Linked DNA regions of Lepisosteus oculatus. The protein of the gene in region 1 purifies or fractionates together with the protein of each later gene. This does not show direct contact. Links are inferred from orthologs where the notes say so. Each region holds a gene or a part of one and is shown on either strand. Other genes may lie near its edges.

Region 1 (10,828 bases):
TTTCCTCATGATCCAGTGAACATACTGTAGCATTTCGCTAACCAGCTGTTGTTCCGTGAAGGTGCTCAGAAAGTTAACACCAATAAAAGGAGATATCCTAAAAGACACAGCAAAACAGAACAATATTGTCACCTCACTGAGCTGTGACTGTGCAGCTCGATATTCTTGAATTAAATGTTCCAGTTGGTTGTTTATGTACTTCTCTCGACTGCCAATTTTTTCAAGAGTTTTACTAATTTCTTCTTGGAGCTTGTTGAGGTAACCCTGAAAAATAAATGGATTGAAAAGCAAAACAAACCAGAGACTTGATTCATGCCATACAATCCTTAAATCCATAAATATACTTCAGTAACACCCAATTTTAGAATAATTATTTTTTTCAACAATACTAATATTTGTGTGTAAAATGTGGTACTTTTTAAAAACATTCATGAATAAAAAATACCTTTGTCTCTTTCAGAGATGATTCGATTCCATCTCTGTGCTGGTGCATCTGGTCCACATGAACTCTCCAATCCTGCAAATTTTAGAGGAAAAGGCTTAACTACCTATAAGGTTGATTTGAACAAACAAAGCTCATTTTGTTTGGTAAATCTTTAATTGTCCATTAAGAACAGACACATAAAACACATGTATAGTATTTCTACACCATATCATATACACTATAGTATTTTTCTAGATAGGCCAAATGACCTCCTACTTCTGGCTGTTATGTTTTTGCTTTTGGGGAAAAAAACAAATTTACATGTACTGATAAAAAGTTACTGCATTCAGGAATATTTTACGTCTTAGAACAAAACAACGCACTCTAGCTGCAAGGTGTGGAATTACAGTACAGGAAAGTGTTTTGGCCCTGTTTGGTTCTTATGGCAGCAGAATGCCTTGCAATTGCATACAGTATGTGTGTATAGGAAAGAAATATCTTCACCTTGTTATCAGTTCTGATTGTGACCTTCAGCTGTGGAAGAACACGCTCTACTTCCAAATTCCATTCTGCAGCATCTGTATTGGATTCCAAAATATCATCTGGTTTTAAGGATTCACCTGTTTCCTATAAATTCATAAAATCAATTAAATTAACATACTTTGTCTTAAAACATTTTGTGATTGCATGGAAACTATGAATTAATGTAAGATTCCAATGAAACACTTGTAAGAAAACGTTCAGACTTAAATTATTATTTGCAGTGTTTATGTCAGTTGTATTTCACATTAGAAAAAGTAAAACATAAGTAAGTATTAACAGAAATATACCTCAAACAAGGACAGCTAGTTATAACATGGCAAAATATTACATGTTGAAACCATTTTGGATGTTCTGACCTGTTTTTTTGTGTAAATATCTTGTAATAAGAAGACTACTTTAAAGGAACACCATTCTGTCTTAAAGAAAAGCAAAAAAAAACGTTTTACACTCTGATTTGTCCTTGTCTTCAGTGCTTCCAAGTCTATGAGATGTTCTTCTTCATAGTCATCCGGTTCAACCTACAAAATAAAATTACATATGAGGATGCGTTTTTGAGAAATCAGCACCCCATAGTTAAGGTCAAAGCAAAAGAGCAAGCACAGGTTATTAACACAACTATTGTAATTTCATACTATATTCTTTTTACTTGTGATAAGGATTTATTTTCCTCAAATGTTATTTTTGCAGAAGTACAGAAAACCATTTTTTTAATTATCATCAGTATACTTTATTCAAAAATAAAAGCAGCTAAAAAACAGCTGAGCTGATTTTGTCCTGTGATATACAGAATTTAACTGCCTAGCACTACTTTCAGTCATGGAGGCTTTGTGAACGTCCACCACTGTAACAGCTGCATCATCTCTAAAACCAAAGCTAAAGGGAGGTCTGTGAGGAAATACTTCCTAATACATCCTACTTCTCAAAAGCAGGTCAAGACATCAGTTACTTAAAGTAGTGCAAGATACTCACTATCATTTCTTCCTCCACTTTACTCAGCGTAAGTTCAGCATCATCATCCATCACAGATTCCTCCTCAAGTTCTTCTTTGGGGTAACTCGGCCTGGAACATCATTCAGACAGAATTTCGTTCAATGAGGGATCTTAAATGTTCCAGCAAAGAAAAAACAAATCTTTCCAGGTACTGTACAGTAAGTAGCATGCAATGCCTTGTATTCCATGCATAAAAGTATTCAAGCAGAGAGCTGCATTAGTATGTGTAGGCTGCGAAGGAACAGGTTCATCCCATGTTTCCATGTAGCAAATAAAAAAAATACAAAATGCAGAATAAAAAAAACAATGCTACTTTCCTTCTCTCCCTAACACCAGAAGAAGGCTCCACAGCCAAAACAAAGTGTTTCTTTACTATACCTTTCAGCATGGGAAGAACCTTGACCTGTTCCATTCCATGAAAGTGTCTAATTAACAATTTGCTATCATTGCTTTGCAGTGCAAAAGATAACTGTTTTAGGTTTACTTCTTCCAGGTGAATCTCGTCCGTTTCAGTGCCTCTTCTGCCAAGCGATCCAGCACGTAGCAAACATATTCCCCATAGCCTGTTTTCAACTTGGAAGGAGGGAAATCCACTAATCCACCCTAACATTAAAACAAAGAAAAACCCTCAACTCGACACCTTTCCACTACAGCATAAACGCACAGTTTCAGTCCCTGAGGGCAAAAATCCAGCAGGTTTCCTACTTTTGTTTAAATGAAACAGTTTTCAAAGTGTTAATGTTCTGGCTAAAGTTATAGTTTTTTTTACTTTACTCAATCTTCTGCAGATGTCAGCTGGATACATTTCAGCTAAAATACCTATTAAAATTGAATTTTCCCTGCCTTTAAGATATACCTATTTGAAAAGGACATGTATAACCTGTGAATAGTTGGCCCTTCAGGACGATAGATGTGAACCTCTACTCTAAAGAAGCGTCTCTGAACCTTTTCCACTTTGAGGCACACAAATATGAGTAATTCAATTAATAAGTAAAAAAATAATTATTAATAAATAAAAAAAAGTTAGTTTTAATATGGAGACTATGGGATGATACTTTTTTTTTTTGGACAGGAAATGCTGACAGCACCCCACTGAAGTGTACTAGAAATCTCAAATAGTTTATTCTTGTTGTAAGGCAGGCTTTTAAAACTTGTATGTTAAAAAATGGAAAGTAACATCAAGAATGCCATTTGGTTCTGACCCTGATCACAAAATCAGGGAACAATCTTTATCAGCCTTCATATTCAATGGTACATTTATTCATGTGTGGTAAAGCAGACACTGGGAAACACTGCTTAAAAGAGAGACAAGCATATTTGGTTAGCCACCTGCATTGCAGGTATACTTACAAAAGCCCTGAGCTCTGCCAATATATTCGAGACCGTAGCATTGGGGTCATCATATTCTTGAGGCTGCTCAAAGGGTCGCCCAGCTTGGTTGATGAGCCACGAGGCAAGGGTGGTAAACATGAAGAACTGTTCTCCTGGATTTGTCGGAAGGGCGAAGTAGTGACTGAAAAGAGAAGTTTTTTTTAAATCACCCTGATGGCTCTGAAAATTCAGCATGCAGTCAGACCTTGGCAGCATAATTAATGTGGTTTATGACCGTTTACCTTTAAAGGCTAGTGAAGTGTCTGTCCTTATCTTATTTGACTCTATGCTTTGTTTGTTTTAGAGGTTTGATATTAGTTATTTCAAAATAGGATTAATTGTGATTATTAACAATTATTCTACCCTAGAATTCTCTCTAAAGGAAATACAATATAAACAAATCATTACTTAAATCTTGAAGGGTATTCAATGAGCTTTAGAGCACTGACAGACTCCGAGATGATAAGATATCATAGAAAGACACATGCACTGGTGCAAAATGAAAAGGAAAGAAAAACACATCGCAATGAAATCCTCTATTAAATCACCCTAAACTGGGTCAGCGTCCTTTCAGAGACATTTACATGATTTATTTGACTACTGATGATCACATACTTTATATCAGTTATAATAACTGTATATTCTTCAAACATTAGTTCATTAAACGTGGAAAAGGGTGAAGCTTGCTTACTACAGTTCTCTTTAGCAGTTCTTAGAAAATGCACCATTTAGCTTTAACAGTACCCTGAATTGTGTATAGGTCTGACTACAACATTCTCATAAAATACTACAGTACCAGCAATCTTTATAAAGCACTGACAGCATGAAGCATGATAGAATGTTTTAGTTAAAAAAGCAGACCCCATCTCACGAAGGTAAATGAACAACCTTAAAAAAACAATATGTGGGACAATTACCTTGATGGGCAGAAATGCGATCCCTACAGTATATTGCGCATGAAATAGGTGTACAGTATAGGTACACGGGCCTAGCAAACGACATCCCAGGTGCAGTTTGGTAGTCAAGCCAAGGTACAGTATGTACGGTAAGGGCGCTGTGGAGCTGTTGAATGTTTCCCAGGTAGAGGCAGAGACAGCTACAGCTATTATCACAAACACTTTAGAGAGTAACACTGTGAGACCGATGAACAAATGAACGAACTACTCCCTCGTTCATATTTCCACCATACCCTTTAATCTAACACACATTCTCAAATGTTGTTCTATAAATATCATAAAAGAAGCAAAACAATATGGTTGTGATTTTTTTTTTTGATTTTACGGGCAAATTTAAGCATTTTTTAAAATGATGTATTTTTTCATGGAGTATTAGAGACTTCATATGCACGGTACGTGACCGTAATTTGACGAAACACAAAACACAAAAAACCGTAACTTTATTTTTCTACGATTTCCACTACAGACGGAAGATATACAATCTGGGTTTATAAACTGCTGAAGTCTACTTGCACCTTCAGTTGACAGTTTAGTGAAGCATGACCATCAGTTACCGTGATAAAGCTTTCATGTTGTGCTTCCTCAGCACCTCCTCCTCGTAATCCAACAGCTTCAGTTTATCCAGCAGATCCTCCATCACCACAAACATCTGGTAAGCGGCTCCCGGACCCCGTTCATCCTCGTCTCCTCGCCTGTTGTCATCTGCCATCGGCCGAGAACTGTTGTTTTTTCCGTGCTGTGAATCTTTTTTGCCAAAGTTTTTTTGTTTAAATCACAAACTGTCAACCAGTGCTGTGTGCCAGCCACTACCTGTTGTAAACCAAATTGTTTGCTTAAAGCGTCGTTACCAAGGAGAGTCTTGGCCGGATCTGCTCCCACAAAGCAAAAGTAACTGAAGTGAAAATCATTTAATGTGGGGACGCTTTTCACAGGTCGAATATTGCACCGACGTTAAATCGGGAGCAGAAATAAAAATAAAAACAATCGTGGGTATAGAGAAGTCAGGGAAACATGAAACTGTGACATACACCCGGAAGTAAATCCAAAGTTTCCAATCCAGCTCCTTGGTTACGGCAGGTTCCCAGGAAATTGCGTTTGCCATGGAAACATGGTTGATTGATTTTCCGGGAGTTAAATCACAAACAGCTCGTTCGAAATGCGTCTGTGCTCTGTGGTGGTCTCATGGCAGTTTCAAATGAGACCAATTTATTAATAAAATACCGAGATTATATAAAAAGTAATCGGCTTGAGGTTGATCGTTTCAGTCTACGGTGACATACTAATGTTGAGCTAACTGCGAACAATTTAAGTAAATTTTCAGAGTTTTAATGTCATATGAAATTTAGCAGTAGCCCCCACACCCTGCTTTCCTATTGTCCAAGGAATTATCAACAAAGACTGAATGTATTTTAAAAGCATTATGCGAAAACACATTTAGACAGCAAAAAAAAAAGACAACTCGGTGAAGCTTCGTATATGTTATGCAGTATATTTGATGCTGAATCCATGTTTAATGTTTATATATAACATCGCTCATGTGATTTGTTTTCAGCTAACGTATTAATCGTCAAAGCATGTCCGCATTGCTTTTGCAAGCTATTCCTAAAACTCTTCAGTTTAAAGATTTAAACTGATGAGTGTTTAATGATGGGTGGGTGCGGGGACTCGGTCTCATATCAGCATATCCTATTCGATAATGACAAGGGAAAAATCTGGCATATCGCGTGTCATTGCACCTCTCAAGGTTTGTTTGAGGTGCTAGGAAACAGCACTACCCCCCTAGAGGCTTCTCTGCAGCCTGACAAAGACTTCACTAATGATCAGAAAGCCTTTATTGGCGGCTCCGAGCAGCACATTACCTACAGGGAGTCAAATATACAGCTATTCATCTACCAGTTACCGTAGCAATGAAACCTAAAAAAAAAAAAAACTACTGACAAAACTGTACCTATAAATTCAAAAAAAGTTTTTTTTTTACCTTACGCTCACTTGTTTTTTAACTTACGACTCCTGGGGTGACATTTCATATATCACTTGCTTCATCAGTGCCTTTTCCATAAAGATAACTTTGTTTTGATTAAGTCATACACATCATATTTTGTTACTTCCCTTCTCTTCACCGTAAGAAAATAAAATGAAAGTATTTGCCAAGTGAGCAATACCATCAAAGCACAGCAAAACGTACCAGACAAGAACGAGAAGTATAACATTAGCCTCAAGCATCATAACTAAGTATAAACGCCTTTCCAAATTCTTCATAAAGCAGGACATTTCAACAAAGTGTGTATGTGTGGAATAGTCCTGATGCATTAAATTGGATTCAAATATGTTCAGTACATTGTTGTCTCAGTGGGTTACAAGAAATATATTTTAGTCATTTTAAATGATCATTTCTGTGTTTACTTGTAAAGACCTATAAGACTTCAGAATTTAAAACAAAATGCTGTGCTACTGGTTTTACAACTGAGTATGCCTTGAGCAACTCTGTTGTATGGGGTTGCTATAGCACTGTTTCTTGCAAAGTGTACTGGTTTGAATAAAATTGGAAGAATAACAATGAAAGCAAGGAACAGATGTGTAGAAGTAGGTGTATGCACGTAATTTTGGCAAATGTACTGTACCATCTTAATAGATTAATGGAGCCTGTAGTCTTTTATCTGCAACACTCTAGTCAGAGAGTATCAGTAAAATAGTAAATGTTCTTGGCTTGGCAAGAATGGGTGAGCTGGATTTAGTTCAAGTTGCATTACAGTAGTTTCCATGGTAGCACCCAAACTCTGACAGACAGAGGGAGGGGGGAGTGAGGATTTTTTTTTCAAACAGAGTTCGCACTTCAGAGGAAAGAGGGTTTACAGAGCTGTGAGAAACAAACACTGACAAAATACTGACAGGTGGATTACAGACAGGAGGACTACCTGAGCTCTGCTTTCTGCAAAGGTAACAACCAAGAAGGCTGAGATAAATGAGAATGTCTTAAGTTTTCTTTAAATTGAATGAAGGCCCTCAGTAATACTGCATTCTGTTATTGTTTGTGTGCGACTTGGACGGCACTTAACAACTTTTGTTCTATGACACGTTAATTTGTAAACGCTTTTCCCTTCTCATAGAACTTTTCCTGCTTTCTGAAACTGGACATACTTTTGGTTTTGGTCTAATAATAAATAATAGCTCTTAGAATCCATTTTAGCCACAACGCTTACCAAGAATAAGCAGCTTGTCGCTATGGAAGGATACTCTGTATTAGTTTCTCGTTTGTTGTGTTTGTGAAATGGTCATTTAATCAGGTTATTTCATCAAGTTGTCAAGTCATTCTTAGAAAATGAGGCTTTTGATCAGCTCAAGTAAAACAGATACATAAAGTATTCAAATAAACCAAAGTTACACATATTCATTTTTATTTAGGATGTTTACTTTTTTAAAATAGTAAACAGATTAAGCATGAGAATGTCTATTTTTTATCATTTTTCCCTATGTTGGCCATTTAAGTGCATAATTGTGTTTTGCTTAAGGTTTAAATTGCATTTATTCAGTTACTTTTCTTCACAATACCTTCATTTCAGAAGGGTGACTAGGTTCTCTTGCTATTGAGAGTCAAGGTCACAATGACATATCTAAGCCATTCTCTGATTGGTTAGCTGCTTTGAGACTATCATTATATTGTTCAAAAGGCAAAACTAGAATGGTTTCAGTCCACAATGGTTTCTTAATCCTAATACAGACTGTTTACCTCGTGTATTTTATGTACAAGACAAGGCAAGAAAACATACTACTGAGGTTTCATATTATGCATACACACAATTGTGAACTCACCAGAGTGTGCTTTTTAAAATTTGGCTTTTATGTACATATCATCTTAGATAATCATTCTGCATTTTTAATCACACAGCTCACAACAGTTTTATACAATATCAGATACATTTCTGAGCTCAAAGGAAAGCGCTACACTGACAGACTAAAAGAACTGAACAGAGAAGACATGTGGACCTCGTTAAAGTACAATATTCAGAATCCTCAGTGGACCTCTTTAGAAACAACAATAAAACGCGAAGTAGAGGACACAAGTTGAAGCTATAAGGAAGTGCATTTACACCTGAGAACAGGAGACAGTTTTTTACACAAGGGGCTGTAGGAGTACCTTTAGGTTTTGGCAGGAAGTAACCTTAGGATCATCGGTTGATTACTGAAAAAATAAACAAATGAGTTAGATGGGCCTAATGGCCTTTTCTCATTTGTAACTCTTCTTATATTCTTATACCTATACTCTAATAATCATTCCCCATTTTTAAAAATATTATTTAGTTCATAAACATGACATGATGTCTTTCAATTCAAGTTGTACTAAAAGTATTATCATGTTTTTAATGGGCTATTTGTACCACGAATTCAGAGCCTAACCTGCATGCTATTATTATAATAATTAATCCTTATATATAGCAAGGATCCTAAATCACTATACTGTACATATAGTATCGGAAGTACCCACTTCATCAGCCACTGAATTCAGCTCCACTACACAGCTGAGGGCAGCGCACCTCCTATATCTCAGAGTATCCAGGCACCATATCTGGGTATTGCTTTGAAAACTGTTGTCCAGGGGGAATAGTACCACCTACTGGTCCATCAACACCCTGGATTTTCTTGGAGGTCTCGTGTCCCTGTTCTGCGCTCACCAGCTTCATGTTTGCCTAACGTCTGAAAACAATCTGGTTTCTTTTTTCACCTTGAAGACTTGGCTTTGCAACCGGCCTTTTATTGCAGTGGCAAATGAAATTGTCACTGAAATACAGCTGTGTAGTGTAAAATATCTTGGTTACTGGAGATCTGTGTTTTTTTAGATCTTTTCCAACATTATTATATGTGGCATACTGATCTTTATGGGGATCCAATATCTTTCTGTATGTTAAACTAATCAGTTTGCAGATTATATTAGGAATTAGAACCCAAGTACAGTGATTAGCCTTTACGAAATTAGGGGTGCAAGTGAACTAATGTTCAATAATATGTGATTACAGATGTCTGACAGTGAGAAGACAGGTCCTGGGGAGGAGCTATCAGGTCCCCAAGAGGAGGGCACTGATGCTGAAGAGAAACCACAGGAGGGCACAGAGGATGTAGAGAAACAGCAAGTGAGCACAGAGGCCGGGGAGAAAGAGGATGCTGAAGCAGCTTCACCCAGACTTACAAATGAGGGCATCGCCCCTCCTCTTATCAACATACAGAAAGGTAAGTCCCTGCCATGTATCATAGTCTAGTATTTCCACAATGACGTCTGAGATAATGATGGACTAGACTTTCAGTTATATTCTAGTTTAGGCACACAGTATATGAGTGAAAAAAATGATAAGTTCAGACATGTTTTGGTCCTCTTTCTTCCTATGTGAAATGATTGATTTTGTTATGATTTCACACTACAGGACTGAAAATTGTTGCTGCACAATTCCTTTTTTTTTTTTCTGTGTCAAAGCTGTCACTCTTGCCTGGTGATTAGAACTCAGAAATGTTCTGTTCTTAAGCATTACAGTTTATGCGGTGTATCCTCATTCATTTAAACATGAAGAAATTATTATTCCCTACATCTGTAGCACACAATAATTAGATTAAAGGGGAAAAGGAAGCCTTTTTTGTAACCAAATATTATCTTCCCTGAGATTACTATGCAGTGCATTCGATTTTACTGTGTTTTTTCTGTGGTAAACTGTCTGGGGTAGCATTATAAAAACATTAGTAATGCCTCAATCACTAAGAGTGAAAGCAACAATGACAAAATGTGATGAATAAAGTAGACAAGAATAATCAAAATGTACGAAACAGTAATTCGACTTTGAGAAAATATTTTGTCATAAAAATGAATAACTTTTCCCCCTACGTACTGTATTTACAGATCAGGGAGCTAAAGGGCACAGGCGTTTAGGTTCCAAGAAACCCAAAGGCACAAGTCACACAGCAGCCTCTGTTGTATCATCTCCTACAATGACCACACCAGTGAGTGCAGCCTTTATGTTTTTGAAACAGCCTCAGCTTACAGATTTTTTCCTGAGTAAGAACCTAAGAAAGTCAATTAATGTGAGGAAGTTAATCAGCACATCTAGGTTCTTTAGTTTTTTGAAGATGATTGATCTAAGGATCTATTGTACTTATGCTAGTTGACCTCAGTATTTTATATCTGTATACTGAATATTCTACTCTTTTCAAACATATTCAACATACTGTATGTTTATGTACAAATGTTTTGTACAAGAGTTTTGTACCCCAACTATTCAGTCTCCAAAAGTTATACTGAGATTTTTTGAGACTGTATGACGGGACTCCATTACAGGCTGATGGTCTGTGTGCTTAAGGAAATAGAACTTTATGACACTAAAGGAAGTCAGAATCATTCAGTGGAGATTAATGTCTGGTTTCACATATACAGTATATCATTTAGGTTTGATTGCTTATTGCCCTTTCCTGGAAATCTACCTAACGGTTTCCTGCACCAGAGATGAGTACTCCACTTTTCTGAAGAAGGAGGATGAATACTGTTATTTGTTATTAGTGAAATCAT
Region 2 (11,134 bases), on another chromosome or scaffold:
CCGGACGCCATTCCTTTGGTCTTCATGGCACTGTACAGCACAGAGGTGATCTTCAGCATCTCTTTGACCGCATACCCATCCGCCTGGTACAATCTCTTCGTGTTGAGTTTGACGTGAGCCTTCGAAGCCTGTGATAAAACCAGATTAAGATCAGTGGCTCTTCTTAGTGGTTTCAGACGGTTCAGATTACTGCTAGGGGTATGTGCGTTTTAATCACTTGACATTAAAAAACTTCTTTCCCCTAAATGAAGCTGTATCACAGAACACCTGTACCTCATTTTAGGTATGAAATTCATTCCCAGAAACCGTTTTGTACAGAAAAAAATTGTAAAAAGAAAAAACTATTTCTTATGGGGGAAAATTACAATCCATTCCGGACCCCAGAAATTACACCCCCGCTTTTACTTTCTTCACTAGGTGGGGCTACACACTGGTGGTGGTGGTGGAGGGGAGTTCCCATTACCTGTAAAGCGCTTTGAGTGGAGTGTCCAGAAAAGCGCTATATAAGTGTAAGCAATTATTATTATAAAAAAATTACAAAAGAAATGATAATAACTAAGATTTATATTGTAGTTTGTGTTTTTAGTAATAGAAAACACTGCTTAACTAGATCGACATCATTAATCATATCTACGTACAGTACTGTAATGTTCAGTAAGCACATGAATCTTTAAGGTCTAAACTACAAATATTCTTACACGAAAAGTAAGAGCACACACAATAGCGAGCAACGCACGAAGCAAGATGGTGTGAACGTCTCTCCTGCCACTCCGTAGGCTCAGTGCTTGCTCTCACCCACACTAGTTAGTGGAACGTGATATGAACACTCAATATGAATCAAGTCTTATCATCGTATGACGCCTTCCTCTTCACTCTCTACATAGGGCGGAGGTTTCGAAATGTTTCTTCATATTGCTTCTGTGTAGTTTCGGAGTTGGCTTTCGTTATTTGAAATGTGGGAAAGAATTCACATACTTCGTAGTATTGAATTTTCAAAAACGGAACATTCATTAAAAGAGGTACAGCTGTACTACCCTACCAAAATATCAGTGATACAAAATATTCAGTGTTGCATTCGAAAGCAGTAGGACAGACCACACATCCCATGATTGCTGTCAAGCAGAAGCAGATTAGATCTTTTTCTCAGTATGTTGTTCAACGGGAAGGAAGGCTGACTTACTGTAAGTGACTTCACAGAGACATGACTGATCAGGCTGGCCAGGTGTCACTAATACAAAGCTAGGAGCGGACTTAGCTACTAGTATGGGAGGCTGCCTTTAAGGGCTTACAGCAAGTGACTGGAAAATTACAGAAAAACGAATTTTTGAAGAATGTCTTTTGTTTGCAAACTGCATTAAGCTTTTAGGTCTGCAGCACCAAATTGTTAGGGCTGTTCAATAGAAATGATGGGGATGTGTAAGAGTTATTTTTGTCCATTCGAGCACTAAAGATATTCATTGTGATCTTGAATAGATTCTGAGCACCAGGGACTATTATGCAGAGCAAAAGTAGGCAGTGCTTTAAACAGAAAAAATATACTATTTTATTTGAAACCACTCATCTTTCACATTGGTTTCTTGCTGTATCCTATCCTCTGAGGTCTGTTTCCCATGCTTTGAATTTGGCTTTGCTCCTCAGACATTAGGAGATTATGCTTGTGGTATGTCACTGCAGCTCCTTTTGAAAACAAGTTAAGGTAATTGTATTTGCTTGGCAGGTCTACTGCTATTAATTCCTATACATCACAAGTTGTCAAGCACAGAGCATCCTTTTTAACCTTTGTACATTCTTGCCATCTAAGAAGCCACAGCTGTTTTAGTCTACCTCCCTTGACTGTACACGCTTTTAATCTCAGGTTTTTGCACTGTAATCACATAGTAAGGATTTACGTGCTCATATACAACAGATGTCTCAGTCTTCCTGCAGCAACGTGACAGCTGTCTGTGGCCCTGGACTGTGTATAAGGCATGGTTTCAAGCCTTGTTGCCTTGGCAGTGTTCCACTCTAGCAGGGTCTCTCTCACTCTATTAGGGAGGTGATTACAGTATAAAAACGCATGGCTTTAATTTGATGAAACCTGACAGATTGCAACTATGGCCATGAATGATGTTCCGTCCATTGTGACTGGTCAGCCTGCACTCTCCTAGGTGTTCAGCTCGAGAGTCTAATGCTGTGGACCTGAAGCCAGAGAACACAGCTCCCTGGTCTAGAAGGAAAGATCAGAGACTGAAAACCTCAGTGAGAGATGTCAGACTGTGGACTTGGGTTTCACCATGGAACCTTATCTTTCACATACAGAGACAGTGGGGTGATAATACCAGTCTGTTAGAACAGACAAATGGCATCAACGTTATTTATAACATAATTTGTGAAGATGCGAGAGGCGAGGTTACGGTGGTATGGACATATCATGAGGAGGGACGTTGAGGAAGTAACAAAGAGGGTAATGGAATTTGAGGTGGAAGGTAACAGGGGAAGAGGCAGGCCTAGAAAGAGATGGATGGATTGTGTGAGAAAAGATATGGAGGTATGTGAAGTGAGTGAGGAAGATGTGCTCGACAGAGACAAGTGGAGAAGAGCAACCAAAGCAGCTGACCCCAGGACAGTCTGGGACTAAGGCTGTGAAAAAGAAGAAGAAGAAGATTTGTGTGTACTTTTGTTATGTTTACTAAGAGTAAATTAATTAAAGTATTTATTCTAGCATAAACTGCTGTCCCCTAGTTTACAAAAATAAATAATTCATAAGGATTAAGGAATGTTCCTGGAAACACAGCCTAAAACTAATTTTTGAATCTCCAAACCTTCTCTAAGTAATGATTCATTTGCTTAAGTTGCTGCCATACACTAGAATACTTTTAGAAGCGTTGTCAGATTCACAGCACAGATAATAGCAAGATAATGAGTTAAGCAGAAAAGTAAATTTGATGATGCACAGAAAGCAAAATCTGAAAGGGAAAGCACAAGCAGATGTTTAACTAAGGTTTTAGTTACAGTCAGTGCACTTAAAGGCAACTTGAAGAGAACCAACACAGGTTTAGACTTACCATGAACTGAGCAACAGCTTTGATGAAGAAAACCCGGTCTGTCTCTGTATCCACATCAGTGGGAATATCCATGTGTGGCTCGTATCTACAGGTGTGAAATATGCAGAAAAACACTTAAAGGGCAGGAAAGGAGACTATGGACAGGGATTGAATTAGGCAATCTTATGGCAAATTTCCCATTGGCCTTTACCAATCATGGCCTCCTAATAATCCCCATCTATGAATTGGCTTCATTACTCTGCTCTCCTCCCCACTGATAGCTGGTGTGTGGGGAGTGTACTGGCACACTATGGCTGCCGTCGCATCATCCAGATGGGGCTGCACATTGGTGGTGGTGGAGGGGAGTCCCCATTACCTGTAAAATGCTTTGAATGGTGTCCAGAAAAGCGCTATAAAAGTGTAAGCAATTATTATTATTTCAGGTGGGGAGCTGTGTCAGCATGCGTAGGCTGCAAAGGAACAAGTAATAGGTTTATTCCATGCTGAAAAAAAGAAGAAAGAGAACACAACGTTTCGGCCGTGGAGCCTTCATCGGGTGTCAAAAAGGCTCCCGAAGAAGACACCCGAAGAAGGCTCCACGGCCGAAACGTTGTGTTCTCTTTCTTCTTTTTTTCAGCATGGAATAAACCTATTACTTGTTCCTTTGCATTATTATTATTATTATTATTATTAAATTCCTGGTGTTTTTAAGGAGCTGAAGCAATTAGAAGCTGAAGTAATCATTGCACATTATTGCACAAGTACAACAGAAAAGTATTCTAGGTTTAATATGGCTCTCGGATTGCTGTTCGTCTGCCATTCTGATTGACAGTAAAAACAGTGCAGAGGCACAAACCTCTTCACCAGCCAGATTAAGATCTCTGCCACCAGGGTGAAATTGGGGGTCCTGAAGTTTTCCATTGAAATGAGACGAGTGTACCCCAAAGCCCGCATCATCTCTGTGAAATCTGTTAAAACAAAGAAATGGTTCTTCATAACAAATCCTCGGACCCGTTAGCTATAAGACAACAAATGCGTCAAATGGGCCAGCGTTTGATGGGGATAGGGGTTTACTTGAAGAAATCAAGAAATCTGGTCACGTAGAATTTCTGCTCAGCACTTACTTCTCAGGTCTCTGAAAGACATGGTGTCCGGTTGTGTGGAGACAGCGGTCTTTTCTCTTCCAAGTACTTATTTCGCAGGCTGATCCGGACTGACTTTCCCGGGAGCCCTTTGAATTGAAAAGAGGGACAAGACTTCAACCTCCCTTCAGACTGTTGGGTGTTACAGAAAATAAGGAGTCCGTAACCGCAAGAAATTGAATCCATTCCCATGTTCTTAGACGTATTTACCCATAGCAAAAATCAAAAGGCTGACATTTTAATCATTTGGATTTGTATTGATCTCGTCTCGCTCGCAGTCTTGCGTAATCTTAACTCGAGTCCCATTTTAGAATAACCCACGTAGGAGACCGATAAAGCAAACCATTAATAATGTCTTAAAGTCAGTTTCGAAGGCAAAATCAAAAGTACATTTGTTCTTAGAAAAATACCAAAGTCGCCTCAGAGGGCCAGACTGTGCCGCATACTGTATATCTTAGTGCCTTAAATGTTCTAATTTTCCCTATTTTTATATATTACATGCTACTTTTAAACGGTCTAGTCTGTGCCTAGCTTGTATACTTCAACAGACGGGTTTCTCTTCGGCATCCTTCAGGAAGAAAGACGCTAATTAATTAATAGTAACGTTACCTATACTTACAATTTATCATAACTGGCCTGCGAGCTTCTCTACCGCTTATCCCGTCTCTATGGAATCCAAAACAAACCTGCGCTACGGAAGCTTGGAGAAGACAAACCTCATAACGAGTCCCTAATAGCACACAACCATGCACACAGTATTCATAAGAGCACAATAAGAAGACGGGGAACATTTTAGAGCAGTGTACAGTGCCAATGAAGCCCACGGGAGCCCAGGCTGCTGTCCTTCCTCCCACTCCCCCAACAGCTTATACTTGTATAATGAAATCGCACTGTAAGCTCGGTTTTGCTGTGCTAATAACTATACAGTCACTCTCTGTGCTTTTTCTAGTTTTGATCTCAGTGTACTTTCCTACATTTACATTCTATTTTTAACTTGCCTTACCCTTTTATTCTGGCTTGACTGAAGCCTGAAGAAGTGGACCCAGTCCTCAGCAGTCCATCCTCCAATTTAGTGCGCCGGTCCGTTTTCCCAAGCGGACAAGCTCTTCACCGCTGCCGCTGTAACTGGGTCAGTTTGAAACAACCGTCGAGCCAACTTGTCTATATAACTTCTGCCTGGGAGAGACTGTGCACAAGAGGGCGTTTCTTTCTTTCGAGTCTGGGTTTCTTTGTGTGAAGCTCTTGTCAGGATTAACAGTGGGCAGCCAGCATCACAGCGATGCCGGGATATGTAAGCAATTGGACTAGAACAGTCTGAATCCCAGATCACTTGAGTTTATAGTTATTACAGAGCGGATGCCAAGATGGATACAGCCTTAAACAGTTTCGATAGGTCTTATTTCAAATTAATAATTAATTCCGCAAAATGGTAGCTAATACAGACAGTAAATACTGAGTTAGTCACTACTTAATTACTGGGAGACAACGTTACAGTATATTACATCCTAGTATAAATGTTTTCATATCATAACTTTTATTACGCAGTTATGTCTAGCTTTTATTTGTTTAGTTTTCTGTTTAATTTGTGGATACCTATGTCTTTGGATGATTGTTTTTTTTTGTAATTGTTTTAGCTCCGTGCCGACCATAGCCGCAGGCGAACTATGGGACTACCTGGGGGCCCGTGGCCACAAGGGGGCCTCATTGTGCACCACAACCTTTTTAATCGGCACTTTCAAATGTGAGCGAAAAATTCCAGGCGCTCTTTCTGTTGCTGCTGTGCTAGTCTAGGGCTGTTAAAGTTTGTTAGTTATAAAATTACCTTATAATATTATTAGTTATGAATAAAAGAGTAGAAGTTTATTTTGCTGTCAATGTGTAGTAAATGGCTCATCTTCGCTGTAAAATGGCAATATCATTGCGGTTTCGGCCGCTGTTACACCAAATGTCGGGTCATTTTATTTGCCAAACCGCTTTATACCACACGGTGTCGCGGCAAGCCGGAGCCTACTCGGCAAGCAACGAGCGCAAGGCAGGGTACACCCTGGACAGGACGTCAGTCCATCTCGGGGCCAGTGCAAGCCTATCACACATGGGGACAATTTGGAGGCCACGGTAAAGGTCGGGGGGAGAAATTTGCCCCGGACACCGAGATAACTCCCTACTCTTCTCGAGAAATGCCCAGGGATCTTTAATGACCACTGAGAGTCAGGACCTCGGTTTAACGTCTCATCCGAAAGACGGTTTACACCAAATGGTGTTCGTTTAATTGGGTAGTGGTAAATGTTGTGATGATCAATTTTTATTAATCTTCCGTTACATCTAAGAAGATGTGATGAGATATTCCAAGTGACCTTTCACTTGGGTTGCAAACTGTCCATTTGCCAAATGGTTTAAAATTAAAATCACGTAGTTCCAACTGGGAAACGCACATCATCTTGCAAAAGCAGGTACAGTACCTATCAAAACAGAGGTGCGCCGAATCAAGTCAGTCATGTAAACGAATAATGCATTTGGATTGGAGTCCGTCAGATTCAAGTAACCAGCGGACGGTGGACAATCTACATTTTCTAGCTAGACACCCAGACTGCTTGAGGTGTTTTACTAAAAGTTCACAGATTCACTCTTCATTTGTAAAATGCGTGCCTCTTGTTCTAGTTTACAAGTTCTTAGAAGATGGTTGATAAAAGATTTCTAGTTATATAGTTCATGTATTTGTTTTAAATGGTAAAATAAGTTTGTAAGTTTGTCGTGGGGCGGTTAATAGTAGTGTTTGCGCAAATTGTGATCTCGGGGGGTGGGGGAGCTTTCCAAGATCTTAGGGCCTCTCAAGAGCTAGGGCAAGCCCTGCTTGAGACGATGCCTCGTTGGAGGCGCTATATAAAACAGATTAACTTGCAAACTCGCTTCCGTCATTTTTGTTTTTCTGCACAAGAACAGAACTCGTACACTGAAACAAAAGGAAAAACTTTAAAAGATTTGCAACGCCTTAGGACCAGTGAGATTCAGCTGTAGATCGTGCCTGTGACCTTTCTTAACTTGGGCAACAGAACAGTTCCAACCAATATACACCGCTTCGGTTTGGCGTGGGCAAGGGTATTTTATTTTTGCCTTCTCAGCGGGGGGTCAGCTCTGTGTCAGACTGTCTACGTCAAACAATCTTGATATCACCTCTGCAGGTCTGTGGTGAAGTGCAGAAGGGCCCTTTCCCGGATCTGTCTCTGTTAATTAGATAATTAGAAGCAGGAGCCGAGCTCCACGGTTCAGGAGCGCGGGGGGGCTCCGATTTAACCAAAACAATTTTCGCTACCCTGCCCGAGAGACGAAGACAAATACTGATTTCGCAGTGAGTTTACCTGTTACTTCGCTACTAAAATTAAACTCGACGTTTCTGGCAATTCTTCTGACGTGTTTCTCCCTAACGACACGGCCAAGCAAAATAAAATTACTATCCCGGGACGCAAATGGACTAAAAGAGATGTCAGGATACTATATATATATTTTTAAATCCTGCTAGTACTCCTGCTAGTAATCCCTGCTACTGGCAGTTTGCTGTACATTATGATAACAAAGATACTTGGCATGTTTGCTACCAGTAACGGAACCTACCCCTTCATTCTGTGGAGAACTGTCACAAATTCAGCAGCAGAAAATGTGAATTACGTGGCATGGCCAGACAGTTTTGTATTCTTTACCAAAGCACGACATACTGTAATAGCATTTCATTGCACAAATTTATCAAGTTATTTCCGAAGTTTCGCTTGTTATTCTTGTTTTCCCTCAAAATTAACGGGCAACCTGGGGTTATCTCTGCTCTGGAAAACCCGAATGGCACGCATGCAGTCAGTCCTAAGAAAAACGCATTTAACCGCAATGCAGGTATTGACTAGTTTATCTTAGACAACCCTGCTTCCAATAAAGTTGATCAAACTGCGATAGGGCGAATCTTAATGAGGTTTATGGTTATGTAATGCGCCCGGAAATAATAATAATTATTATTAATAATGATGAGGATGATCCAACACATTCGCGTTGCTCGGCGTTCAGCTCTCCGGTCCCGCCGGCTCTAGCCCGCCCTCTGGTGGAGACGACCGGCCGCCGCGGCGGCAGGCAGGTGCGCGCCCTCCTCCAGCTGAGCAGTTGCAGAAGTTCGCAGGAACCGCAAGGACCGGCGATCAGCAGCTAGAGCCGCCGGTAACCCCCCTGCAGCCGGAACAAACGGGCTGGGAGCCCTCTGTCTGCGGGCCGTTCGTTGGTGAGTATTTTTCTTTCTGGGTCCAAAAAGACTTCGTGTCCTTGTTGCTCTAATGCAGGGAATCACTGTATCTAAGGACTAGTCATTCACGTTGATAACAGGGGATGTGTCCGAATCACGGCGATGAGCCGCCAGCTACAGGTTCGGCCCAATTTCGCGAGCTCGAATGCTTCTCTGTTGCTGGTTCGGTTTAGCTTTCTGCTTTAAGAGCGCTGGGGCGCGTATCAAATAGTTCTCAAATTTAAGATGTTTTTTTCTTTTTAGGAGCAACACCGGGCATTAAAACTCAAATCGTTTCTTACATAGTTCGTTTTCTATATATGGGAAGACTGTGTGAATGCTACAACCCTGCGCTGCCTATCAATAAACAAAGACTGAATTCTACAGTGCAAAAACGAGCCAGACAATACAAAGTATTCCCGTTCTCCAACTTCTGGATTTTTTCTATTGTATTTCTCTTTCGGTAAGGATGTCGGTACCGAACCTATGTTACCGAAAGAGTGTTGATAATACCGGCTACGAATTTCGGTTTCAGAAAGAGTTTCGGTACCGAACCCGTGTTTCCGAAAGAGTGTCTATAACACTGGTACCGACTTTGAGCATCAGAAAGTGTGTCGGTACGGAATCTGTGTTTCAGAAACTGTCGGAAATGTTTATTCCGCGTCGCGTAGAGAAACGTAGCATTCGTTCTCCCCAACCTTAAATGAGTTAATTGAATAGGTTATTGATTTAATTAGTCTAATTACGACGTTCTAAGGGTTTTTTAATTGACCCATTTGGGATGTTGTGACAAGGGTACGCAATCTCGTTAATCCCACACCCGTGCGCTCGAACTCTTAACTCAATTAAATCCTGAATTAAATTGATTGGAACCTTTGGAAGTTTTTTTTTTCTATTCCAGGTCGGAAATCGTACGAAACGGACGAAATGCAATAGTTAGAACCAGCTAGGAACCGAAAACCAAACGTTGGATCGGTTATATTATTGGGTCAATTCAAGTTTCAATTTGTAACCGAGAGCTCATCTGGAATAAAATCCACAGGTAGGGGATGCGGGTATCTGTGCCGGTTAAACAGTGACGGAGAAGGGCTCAGGTGCAGTAAGGCTTCATTTTTGGGGGGGTGTCACCCGTACACCATCTGAAAATCCGGTGCATTCTTCCTTTCAAAACGCTCAGTGAACACATTCACTCCCGGGAATATAATACTTAGTGTGGGTCACGGAAAACGTGCACCTTTCAGTAACTGCGGTGAGACAAAACCCCAAAAAGAAAACGTTAATGGTTTCATCAAAGGTTTGGGCTTGCTAAGAGTATTTTTGGAGAAGTAGTGGGTTTTGATGTGATGCTATAACAGTGTTGCTGGGAAGGGTTTGATGTCTATGTGGAGTTTGCATGTTCCCCTCATATTCGTATAGGTTTTCTCGGAATGCGCTGGTTTCCTCTCGCAGCCCAAAGACGTGCTGCCCAGGAGAGTCAGGATGTGTCTCTGGAACTGCACACCACACGTGTGTCCTGTTCTGGGTGTCGTCTTGCAAACTGGGTCTGCTGGGTTTGTCTGTGACTCGAAGGCTAATGCAGTTCAGGAAATCAGTGAATGGATGGTAGCTTGAGACGTTTTGTAATTAAAAGAAAATCACCGCTTTATTTGAGCTTTTGTCTTGATTGCGCTCTGTATGGACCGAGAGCCACCCCGGGTGTTTTTATTTTTAACCTTAGCTATACAGCACATTGCTGTAGCTGTCAGATAGGTGGGATTTCTTGAAATCGCGTGTCTTTACCAAGACAACGGTAGGATCTGTTGGGGTTTTGTTTTCCAGATAAGGTTCAGTTGGTTAATTAAGCAATTATAGACTCAGTTACACACAATTAACATAGCTTTTGGCAGCTGCTTGAGGACGGCTCTAAAATGTGCAGAGCCGGGGCTGCTGTAGTGAAAAGAACAAAAAGGCTTCGTTTTCTGTCCTCCGTTTCACTGACACAAAGCAGCAGCAGAGCAGCGCCGGGATTTGCCAGAAGGGTTTTTTCAGCCGCAAGTATCACACGCTGCTCGTGTCTGAAGCGTCCCTGAAGCCTGGAAATTAGACGGGGGTTTTATGCCGCACTACCAGAAATTTCAGTTCATAAAGCGACTTCGTGTAAAAATTAAACGTTGAAATAACTTTCCATTCAATATACTACTGTATATGTGGTGGCGAGCGCTGAAGCTCCAGCTAACACTTCAGTTTTGAACGAAAGTCGTCTACTGTACAATGCCCAGATAATCTTCATGCTGTTGCGTGTCTTTGGACTTCCTCTCAGAACTCTCTCCTGCGGTTGGGATTAGCGTGGATGTTTTTTTTTCCGCGCACGCAGCTGTCCTTCAGCTGTCAAATAAGGGCGGCGCCACACGCGTGGGCTTTCGCCTGTGTGAAACATGAAGGCGTGCTGGCCTAACGAGGTGCGACAGGTCCGTGGGCGACAGTGACACCCCAGCAGTGACCGGGTGGACTTCGGGCCCGACGCAAACGAGCATTTGTCATCTACCGCTGAGAGTCGAAGCTTCAGCTCCAGGCGCCCATCCCCAGGTTTCCTGCAAATTGGCGTGTCAACTCTGCGTGTCGCTTTGAAGAAGAAAAACTCATTACGGAGCAGCTTGTTGCGGGACCGCATGTCAGTACGCAGTCATCATTTCAAGACACACACGGCGGTTTGTGGCCCCAGTCCGCATCGATGC

The links. Proteins that work in one complex are often made in the same cells at the same time.
Region 2: the proteins of ift57 (region 1) and cluap1 purify together in Homo sapiens (affinity purification with mass spectrometry; 4 studies listed by BioGRID and IntAct, counting the BioPlex papers as one, with this or other methods). This does not show direct contact. The link is inferred for Lepisosteus oculatus from reciprocal best matches to the Homo sapiens genes IFT57 and CLUAP1.

What each region holds. Positions count from the first base shown.
Region 1 is NC_090701.1:9,588,683-9,599,510, reverse strand, and holds the start of ift57 (intraflagellar transport protein 57 homolog), read right to left. Parts: upstream 5,372-10,828; 5' UTR 4,994-5,371; coding exon 4,839-4,993; intron 3,471-4,838; coding exon 3,308-3,470; intron 2,561-3,307; coding exon 2,442-2,560; intron 2,028-2,441; coding exon 1,937-2,027; intron 1,486-1,936; coding exon 1,414-1,485; intron 1,052-1,413; coding exon 929-1,051; intron 518-928; coding exon 446-517; intron 265-445; coding exon 133-264; intron 1-132. Other genes in the region: dnah5l (dynein axonemal heavy chain 5), read left to right, coding at 9,297-9,507, 10,166-10,266. UniProt on the Homo sapiens protein: Required for the formation of cilia. Plays an indirect role in sonic hedgehog signaling, cilia being required for all activity of the hedgehog pathway.
Region 2 is NC_090714.1:6,842,016-6,853,149, forward strand, and holds the start of cluap1 (clusterin-associated protein 1 homolog), read right to left. Parts: upstream 5,309-11,134; 5' UTR 5,169-5,308; intron 4,876-5,168; exon of another isoform or gene 4,785-4,875; intron 4,255-4,784; 5' UTR 4,170-4,254; coding exon 4,148-4,169; intron 3,992-4,147; coding exon 3,880-3,991; intron 3,130-3,879; coding exon 3,045-3,129; intron 129-3,044; coding exon 1-128. UniProt on the Homo sapiens protein: Required for cilia biogenesis. Appears to function within the multiple intraflagellar transport complex B (IFT-B). Key regulator of hedgehog signaling.